2 linked regions of the Cricetulus griseus genome follow. The protein of the gene in region 2 binds, or shares a complex with, the protein of the main gene of each other region. Links are inferred from orthologs where the notes say so. Each region holds a gene or a part of one and is shown on either strand. Other genes may lie near its edges. The genes, in order: Tns2 and Dlc1.

Region 1 (4,358 bases), on a different chromosome or scaffold from region 2:
GGCAAGGTAAGGAGCAGGAGAAGAGGCTGAAATTAGCAAGAGGGTCTGGCCTGAATCCTGGCCCTCCCCCCTTGTCCACACCTCCACCCTGCCCCACCTTTGCCCAGCTGGTGGGCACTCCTACCCTGCTGGTGGCCCGGCTGCTGTCCCTCCCCAGGGCTCTGAGCAACCTTTCCATAGGGCCGCTGGACTTCATGGTGTCTGGCTGGCTGGGTCTTGGCTGCAGGGCCTGAACAATGCTGGGGCCTGGCCTGGGGCTTCCTGGAAGCAGCCTGGCCGAGGCAGCCGCTTCCCTTGGGTGGAGGGGAGGCTGTCTGGCTGGTGTGTGGAGAAGCCTGGCCCTGGAAGTGAAGGGAAGTGCAGGCGGGAAGGGGGCAGGTCGCTGCTCCAGGAAGTGGGGTGGGGGAGGATGTGGGGGAGGCCAGGAGATCAGATTCCCAGGATCTACCCCTGCTGGGAGTGTCAGCCCAAGATCTTTGGCTCTCCCCTTCTCCTCTGGAGCTGCCTCTCACCCGGTGGGCCACCCTGTGTAGGGGTCTGTGGTCTTGAGATCCAGCCCTGGAATCAGTCAGTGGGGCAGGGTGGGAATTCAGGTCTCAGGGCTGGGCTTGAGGGCCAGAGAAGAACACTGTGTCCCCAGCCAGTCTCTAGCCTGGACTCTTAAGTTCCCTTGGGACTTCCTGTGGGAAGGGAGTGGAGCTGGGAACCAGTACCCCTGGCAGGCTAGGACTCAGACTACTTAGGGTGAAAGAAGTAGGAATGAGGGCCAGCTTCCTTGTCAGATGGGGAAGATCATGCAGTACCCTCCTCAAGGCCAAGCACCAGCCAGAAGCCCAGCTGCCCACAGTAGTGAGTGGTCCAGAGCAACCCAGGGCCCTGGAAAGGTTCCACCTGAAGACCCCAGCTACTGTGCTCCAGATAAAACCCACAGTTCCTGGCTTAGTCCCCCTGTATCTGGGACCCCACCCACCCACCCATTCAAACCTGAGCACTACCTTCATGGCTCTTCTGGGCCTGGCTCTTCTTCATCTGTGGCTGTCACTGGACCTGAGGACTGGACAGGAGGCCCCCTCCCAACACATTCTCCACCCCCTCTAGGGCCTCCTGCTTCCCTCCTGGGAATAGGGCCAACTTCCTGTCCCAGGAGTCAAGGAAGGAGGTGGATAGGGCCTTGGAAACGATAGAACAATCTTCCTAAAACAAGGGTCAATGGCCTGGGGGTTCTCGGCTCAAGCCCTGGACAGCAGCCTTTGGAATGCTGTAGCTGTCACTTGAAAGAATGTACAATCTTGTCGTCCTCATTTGCATGGTATTTACTGAATGTCCCAGTGCAACTCCTCCGGTTCTGGCTACATTCACAGGGTTCCACAGGAGTTCCCTCCTCTGCCTCCTGTTCATCCAGGTGAAGGGCTGCTCTACTCCTCCCTGGTTCACCTTAGAAAGACCATCAGACTGGGAAGCCTGAGCCTTCTTCCTGCATGCTCCAATTCTCTAGGAAGCCTGTCACCTGTGTACCCTGGCTAGAGGGTGGCACCTGAGTGGCAAGGTGTGGCCCCCCATACTGTAACTGGAGAGGGCCACTGGCTCTGTAATCCCTACCCAAGTCCTGGCTGTGTCCCAGGACATTCCAGGCCAATGGCCAGGTGGGCAACTGGGCCTGGCCTGATTCAGCACCCAGCCCTGCTGGGGGAGATGGGTCACTGTAGGGCCTGTGTGAGTGTGGCTCCCCCCATCCAGTGTTTTCCCTCTGCATCTATGGCACATAGCCTTACTTCTGCTGTCTCCTTGTGGGACTGAAAGTCCCCTCCTCTGTGAAAAGTCCCCAGACATCCTCTGGCCACATTGAACTTTCACTGCCTGCCCGCACAGACCTAGAAAAGTGTCCATTCAAATGACTGCAATTGGCTGGTCAAGAGCTATGAGTGTCCCCACCACGGGGAGTGAAGTACTTCTGGAAGGATCCTGAAGGCTGGCTGAGGTGGCGTTACCAGATCCCGTAGATCTTCGCTTCCCACCTCCTGCCTGGAATATTCCAGAGCTTTTTTTTTTCTTCCCCCCAGCAGGGCCCCCTCTTACTCTGAAGCCTTGGGTTTGTTTGGAGAAACCCCTCCACCCACCCACACACCCCTCCTTCCTGGAAATAGCTGTGGTTGGATGAGAAGCTGGGAGCCGGGCCACAGAGGAGTGAGGCCCAGGAAAGAAGGGAGGGGAAGAGAGGTAGGATTCTGGGATGTATCCAGAGAGACCTAGGGGGTGTCTAGGCAGGGCAGAAGTAGACTAGGGCTGTTAGGAGGGATCAGCTTCATCTGTGCCTGCATTGTGCCTCAGTGTCCCAGATAGGGAACATGAGAAGAAAACGCTTGCATACTCTCTGCCAGGCCAGGGCCGAAACACTGCGGCCAGCTACCGCGGGCATCTTGTGCTCAAAAAGTGTGTTTGTCGTTTGAGCTGGGGATGCACGCAGGGAGCAGCCGACCCTCCAGTAGTGCGCAGTAGGACGCGGAAGGCGGGGCGGCCTGAGCTAGGACCACAGCCGTGCCCCGCCCCCTGGTCACCTCTAGGATCTCAAACTGCCCCCTAGCTCACCGCGACCGACCGGGAGGGCGCTGGCGGCAGGCAGTCCCAGCCTCCGGGATCCCGCCGCGCTCGGTGTTCCGGGACCCCGGTGGCTCCGCGCCCCCTGGCGCCCGCCCCTGGCTCGCACCTCGCGCTGTGACGCAGAGGGCCGCCGCCCGCGCTCCCGCTCGCTTGGCGTGGCGGGGCCACTCACCTGTGGGGGGCGCCCGGAGGGCTGGGGGCGCGGCGGACCGGGGCAGCAGCAGGGGGCGCCCCCGGGCCAGCCCATCCCGGCCAGGCCAGCCGCACCGCGACACGCGGAGACAGCGGCAGCTGCGGGACGGGCATTCAGCTGGCTCCCTCCCTCTGCGCCCCGCCACCTCCTCCCGCCCTCCGGCTCCCTCCTTCTTCCCCGGGCTCCAATCGCCACCTTCCACCCGCTCCCCGCCCGCGCCGCCTCCTTTTTCCCTCCTCTCCTCCCACTGTCCTTCCCGCGAACGGCTCGGCGCGCAGAGGCAGGCTCGAAGGCCGAGCTGGCAGCCTGAGCCGGGGAGGGACCGCACGTGGGAAGGCAGCCCCAGGGAGCCTCAGACCGAGAGGCTGCGGAGGGACACGGGCGGAGAGAAACGCGTGAGCCGCACAGACTCCTCAAAAGAAGGTGGACACAGATCCAGAAGGGTACACAGAACAGCTGCGAGGCCTTGGCATCTCGGCGGCCACTTTAGTGCGGGATCTATTCTGAACCATGCCTGACCTGGTGGGGGCGCCAGATGTACTGGTGTCCCGGGTCTTAGGACACCACTTCCTGGTGTTCTCCCCCACTGGAACTTTTCTGTGTCTCTTCTCCCAGAAGACTCACAGCTGAGGACCCACACAAGGTTCAAAGCTCCCACCCCTCAACGGCTTTAGTAATCGCCCCTGTGTTCCTGGGGCTTACCAATGCAAGTTCTTTTGGTGGTGTCATCGCATTCCTTTTTTTTTTTTACTTTTTGTTTTATTTATTATGTATTTTATTTATTATTTTTTGTCTGCATATATCCCTGCACACCAGAAGAGGGCACCAAGTCTCATAACGGATGGTTGTGAGCCACCATGTGGATGCTGGGAATTGGACTCAGGACCTCCGGAACAGCAGCCAGCGCTCTTAACCTCTGAGCCATCTCTCCAGCCCCTCATTCCTTTTTAAAAGTCTGATATTGGAAAAGAACGCCTGAAATTAAACTGATGGGCCATGGTGCTAGTTTGAGTTGTGACAGTGGGAAGGGACAGTGGAGGGTAGGGAATGTGTGGTCCTAGAGTCTTTGAACCTATGGGCGTCCCAGTTCCCAGCATTCTTTAACAGATCCTATTACCTTCCTTCCACACTGGAATTTCCTTAAGTTGGTGAGCCAGAGGATCTCCATGCTGAGAAGTGGGAAGTGCCTAGAGTTAACTGTCGAGTAGGTTCCCAAAGCAGTCCAGCAGGGCCTGCTCAAGCCCTCTGGGTCTGCCTGCTGGCCTGCCCCATCTCAGCAGGGTTCTGTGCTCATCATGTCTCTGGCAAAGGCTGGGTTTGGCGGTTTGGTTCTGATTCCTGGGGAATGGAGCACCTGATTCTAATCTGGCAGCTGGGAAGAGCTGAAAGCATGGATCTTGCTGTCCAGTGGGCACTTTACAGCAGCCGGACTCCTGGGGGACTAGAGGGAGAGCTGGAGAAGTGATGGGGAGGGAATGGTTGCACTGGCAATGGAGAGAGAGAAGCACAAGTTAGAAGACAGTGACAGGGATTGGAGGCTGATGGGAAAGGGCAAGGCTGAAGGTCC
Region 2 (4,570 bases):
CACCATGATTTAGAATCTCCACAGGGACACCCAGGGAACCCAAGTACTAATTTTTTTTTTTTTTTTTGCATTTGAAGCCACCTCTTGGAGCCTCACCAAGCCTCAGACTGGAAGCTTCTTGCAGGAATCTGCCATGGCCCCTTTAAGTCCTACAGCCCTTGGAGGACTAGACAGTTTAATCTCACTTTATTTAGTAATACCTTGCTGTGGTCATAACATCACGGTTAGCCTGTTCTGTTGGCCTTTGTTCTTTTAACTACTATGCAGAACAAAGGCTGAGGGCAAACTGTCTTGTGTGTGTTCCACAATTAAAGCAATGTCTTGGACCGGCTCAGTGTATTAAAGTCTGAAACAGCTTCATCTTTTCACTCCTTAGAGAGTGGTCTGCATTCAATCTACAAAAGCAGGGGAATTAGAATACAAGTCACTGAAACCACTTTTCTCATCCACTGTAGGGCAAAGATCTAAGCTGGAGACCACATATTCAGATTCCAGAGTCTGTGGCTTGGGAGAAAAAAAAAACGAAGTCAGCTCCCGCCCCTGACCTTCTATCTTGTTTAGGGTAAGGTATCACTCAGCTTGCAGGAGAGTAAAGTCAATTTGTCAAAAGCAAACTTTGAAAAAAAAAAAAAAAACAGCTTGAGAGAACTTGAGAGAAAGTCTGTCTGCTGGGCTTCATTTTAAACTCTCTGAACAGTAGGACTAATGAAAAAATTATGCACCCAGGCTAGGGCCAGGCTGCAAATCTGGCATGCCTCAATAAAAGTGAATACGGGCAATCTCCAACATTTTCTCAGGAAATGTCTTGAAATAACTTCTGAAGGCACATCTGTTAACCATTTGACACTCGTTCCTCAGGACTTTGGTTCTTCTGTCAGGGGGGCTGCTGCCTCGAAGGGCACCCCTCTCACCATCTGCTGCAATCTGCTTGCCAAGATGGCACTGGGTGCCTCCGTTAATTCCACCCTTATGGTCAGCAAATTATCCCGCAGAGGACTAGCCTGCTGTCCAGATGGAAGCAAAATTAGTCAACCTCTTGGAGAGGCTGATAGGTTCTGCGCAGCAGTCCGCTGGGCTATTATTTTCCCTCATCCCTTCAGCAAACAGCATTTTGCGGGGTTAAAAAAATGTAATTTGAGACTGGGCATTCTGCCTTCTCCAGAGCCTGATTTTTTTTCCTACTCAAATGCGTCACATATGCCACCCCTACGAATCTTTTGGTAATGGATGGCTGTGCCAAGGCTGCATTCCTCCGAATCACCAGCCACAGCTTGAAACAACCTCTGACTCTAGAGAATGAACCCATTTGTGACCACGTTGAGTGTAAAAAGCCTCATTGAAAGCAAAAACCGGATAGGGCAATATTTTTTTCCTCTTCTACTGAGCAGATTAATGACTTTGGGCAGGGTTTCCCTTCTAGTTATTAGCATCATTTGGGAACAGAGTGAACGTCAGTATCCGTCACTCCACTGGGCATTTTTACGTGTACTAGCTATTTGATCCTCACAACTTCCCTTGTGTCAACAATTATTACCCGGGATTGGGGACGGCACAGTGAGGTTATGCCACTTTCTGGGGTCGAGCATCATGCGCGATGTTGATCCCCAATTCACTTCCCCAACATCACTCCTCGTACCAAAGGCCCTGCCGAAATGACTAGCAGAGACAGAAAATTACACCAGCAGGGTGGGCTGCTGTTCTAGGAGCAACTCTTAAGAAGGATCAAAGGCTCTCAGCTCCTGACATTGGAGGAGGGGACAGGGGCGCAGAGAGGGGCACTAGTCCAAGAGGCCGTCTCCTTGACTTAAAAAAGAAAAAAAGCCTCAGGCCTGGAGACGTGTTTCCTTCCTTTCCACAGCTTGACGAACTCTTGCTCTCAGACCAAGGGCGTGGGCATCTGGTGGGGCTTTTCAGGAACCGCGTCCAACCACCCCACACAGCGGGAAAGCGCTGACTTCCCATCCGAACCCCACGTGCGACAGGGGTTGGGGGTAGCCAAGGAGCAACACAGACTCAGCCTGCCCAGGCTCAGAGATTCCCAGCGTTTAAAACTGGCGAACGACAACAAAAGAAGCGAACACTTCTGTAAACGTACTCTCAAACAGTCCTAAAGAAACATTTCCCCAAGTACAGCTAAAGTCTAAAGTGTCCCTTAAATAATGCATTCTTAGGGGGACAATGCTGATTTGGGACTTGCAGGGTGTAGGGCAGCAAGTAGAGCTGGAACCGTCCCCCAAAAGGGGTCGCTCGCCCCTCGGGGCCAGGAGGCCAGCTTCTAGGAATAGAATGGGTCCAAGTCACCCGGACGCCAGGCAATACGTGGCCAAGGAACATGACCCGAAGTTAAAACCTCCCTCTCCAAACTCTTGACCCAAGCTGCTTAAACACACGCGTTCTACAATCCAGAGCCTGGGGCGACTCCTCTGCAAGCGTGTCAAAACACACAACCACAACACGGACTTGGCAGGGCGGAGTGACAAGTCCTCTTCGGCTGGTCCCCTCAGCGGCTGACCCCAAGCAGACTAGTCCGATAACAAGGCACAAGTCCATCTTACGTGTTAGGATCATGGTGTCCGGCTCGTCTCTACACATCAAGGTCGGCGCAGGGCGGCGGGAGCGCACCGGGAACGTCGAGGCAGCCCGGAGTAATCGGGATCCCACGCCGGGACCCACGGTGGCACCCGGGACGCGAGCCCTCGCGGTCGTCAACACATCCTGTTTCGCAGCTTCCCTGCCCTTCGCCCTAGCTCTGCCAAAATCGTGGATTTTGACTGCGACCGGGAAGGGAGCGCTCTAAGGGAGCGGGGCACGCAGCTGGGGAGCCTCAGCTCCTGCTGCGAGGACGCTCAGCCATGGTCCAGCTTGGAGCGCACCGCCCTCCACTAGCCCGCTGTAGCGCTCTGCTCGCCGCGCGCCCTCCCGGCCTCGCCCTCCCTCTGAGCCCGCCCCCACGGGCGGGACCCACGCTGCGGCCTCGGGCTGTGCTCGGGCTCCGCCCACCGCGCACGAGATCCCGCCCTTCTCCTCCTCCGCCCTTTCCTGGAATGTTTTCCCAGGGTCTGCACTTCTGCGGCGGCGGCGGCGGCGGGAAGCGCCTAAAAGTCGCCAACTACTGGCCTCTAGGGTAAAGGCAAAAAGCCTGGAGGCATTTGCTGGGTGTAGAGGTCCGGGCCTAATGCTCATCATTTAACCTCTATCTTTCCCTTGGTGGTTCTGTGCACCCGCAGCCTCTCATGCTGGTCATCACAAAAACTTGCCATGATGGTAGGGACAGTGAGGAGGTCAGGATGGAGCAGTGTCTCTTGATCAGAAAATGGGGAAATACAATAACTGGTCTTTGGGACACCCATTCCTCCCTAAAGCCCACAAGAGCACAGAGGGAATGTGGGTACTAACATTGTTATGGAAGTTTTCCCCAACACGTGGGGAGAGTCAGTATACCGTGTGCGCAGTCATAGCCAGTGTATTTACATTTGGACTAAGATCACAGCTGCTAAAACTGCTCATGGACTGGCCCCCAGCCTGCCTTTTATGATCTGATGGTGATAATCTGTTTTTTTTTTCTTTTCTTTTTCAAAGGTTCAGATGATTCTCAAGCAGCTTAGTTGGAGGTTCCTTATATCATAAGAAGCCCCATTTTGAAGCTCCAGACAGAATATAAGGTCTTTAAATATCCACAGCAATTTTCATGAAAATTTACTTTGGAGTAAGTTAATAATTTTCATGAAAATTACTTTGGAGTAAGTTATGTGTGTTATCTTAACTGATGGAAACTGATTCATTCAGTCCCAAGACAGCATTTATTATGGGCCAAATGGTTTCTCCGAAGGATTATACAGCAGCCAGCAAAGGGGGACCATATCCCTGTCCTGTCGGAGTTGCTTGTTCCTAGAGAAGCTATACAATAAGCCAAGCAAGTGGAAAATATGTAGTATCTTAGATGAGAGGTGTTAGGCAGACCAGGCAATAGAATTGGGGCAGAATGTATTGGTAAGTTGGGCTAACCACCAACAGAAAACTGTATTCCCTTGTACTTCAAAATGGATTTATTTCATAGCCATATGCTAGGTTACAAAGCAGACTCTCCCCACTTATATCAATGGCACCCTAATTTTCCCTAGCAGAATTCCTCACTTGGGAGGGAAGGCACATTCAACCTCCACTCAGCAGATCGATGTTGCCAGGACATTTACCTGATGGCAAATGTTGGAGATCCAAAGGCAGTGCAGGGTTCATGTGCCTGCTTGCTAAGAGTTTATAGAATGATGGGAAGAAATGGGCGTGAATGGAAATAAGGGACTGTTGAGGGCCCAGAAAGTGAAGCCCTGAATAGCCCAAGAAAATAAAGTTGTCCTCCAAAGTGTGTCAGCTGGGAGAACTGTGAACATACCCATAATTAGCATGTCCTTCTGGTACTCACATTTCAGAATGTATAAGCCTCTCATACTAAATCACGTATAATTTACATATACCTAACGGAATCCTCCCTAAATACTTTTAAAATTATTATTAGATTATTTACAATATGTAATACAATGTAAACACTGTCTAGAATTACATATGTTCAGTA

What was found.
Region 1: the proteins of Dlc1 (region 2) and Tns2 are in contact, whole or in part, in an NMR structure (PDB 2LOZ), measured with the Homo sapiens proteins. The link is inferred for Cricetulus griseus from reciprocal best matches to the Homo sapiens genes DLC1 and TNS2. Residues at the interface, in NP_001335010.1 of Homo sapiens: Glu811, Asp812, His813, Lys814, Pro815, Gly816, Thr817, Phe818, Pro819, Ala821, Leu822, Thr823, Asn824; in NP_736610.2 of Homo sapiens: Asp1268, Leu1269, Leu1270, Arg1271, Gln1272, Gly1273, Ala1274, Ala1275, Cys1276, Lys1317, Ser1319, Ala1320, Gln1321, Thr1324, Leu1387, Asp1388, Pro1389, Asp1390, Gln1391, Val1403, Leu1404, Leu1405, Gly1406.

Annotation. Positions count from the first base shown.
Region 1 is NC_048595.1:398,500,106-398,504,463, reverse strand, and holds the start of Tns2 (tensin-2), read right to left. Parts: upstream 2,931-4,358; 5' UTR 2,846-2,930; coding exon 2,771-2,845; intron 2,682-2,770; exon of another isoform or gene 2,587-2,681; intron 2,081-2,586; exon of another isoform or gene 1,002-2,080; coding exon of another isoform or gene 996-1,001; intron 912-995; exon of another isoform or gene 197-911; coding exon of another isoform or gene 125-196; intron 1-124. UniProt on the Homo sapiens protein: Tyrosine-protein phosphatase which regulates cell motility, proliferation and muscle-response to insulin. Phosphatase activity is mediated by binding to phosphatidylinositol-3,4,5-triphosphate (PtdIns(3,4,5)P3) via the SH2 domain.
Region 2 is NW_023276807.1:48,432,949-48,437,518, reverse strand, and holds the start of Dlc1 (rho GTPase-activating protein 7), read right to left. Parts: upstream 2,920-4,570; 5' UTR 2,593-2,919; coding exon 2,556-2,592; intron 1-2,555. UniProt on the Homo sapiens protein: Functions as a GTPase-activating protein for the small GTPases RHOA, RHOB, RHOC and CDC42, terminating their downstream signaling.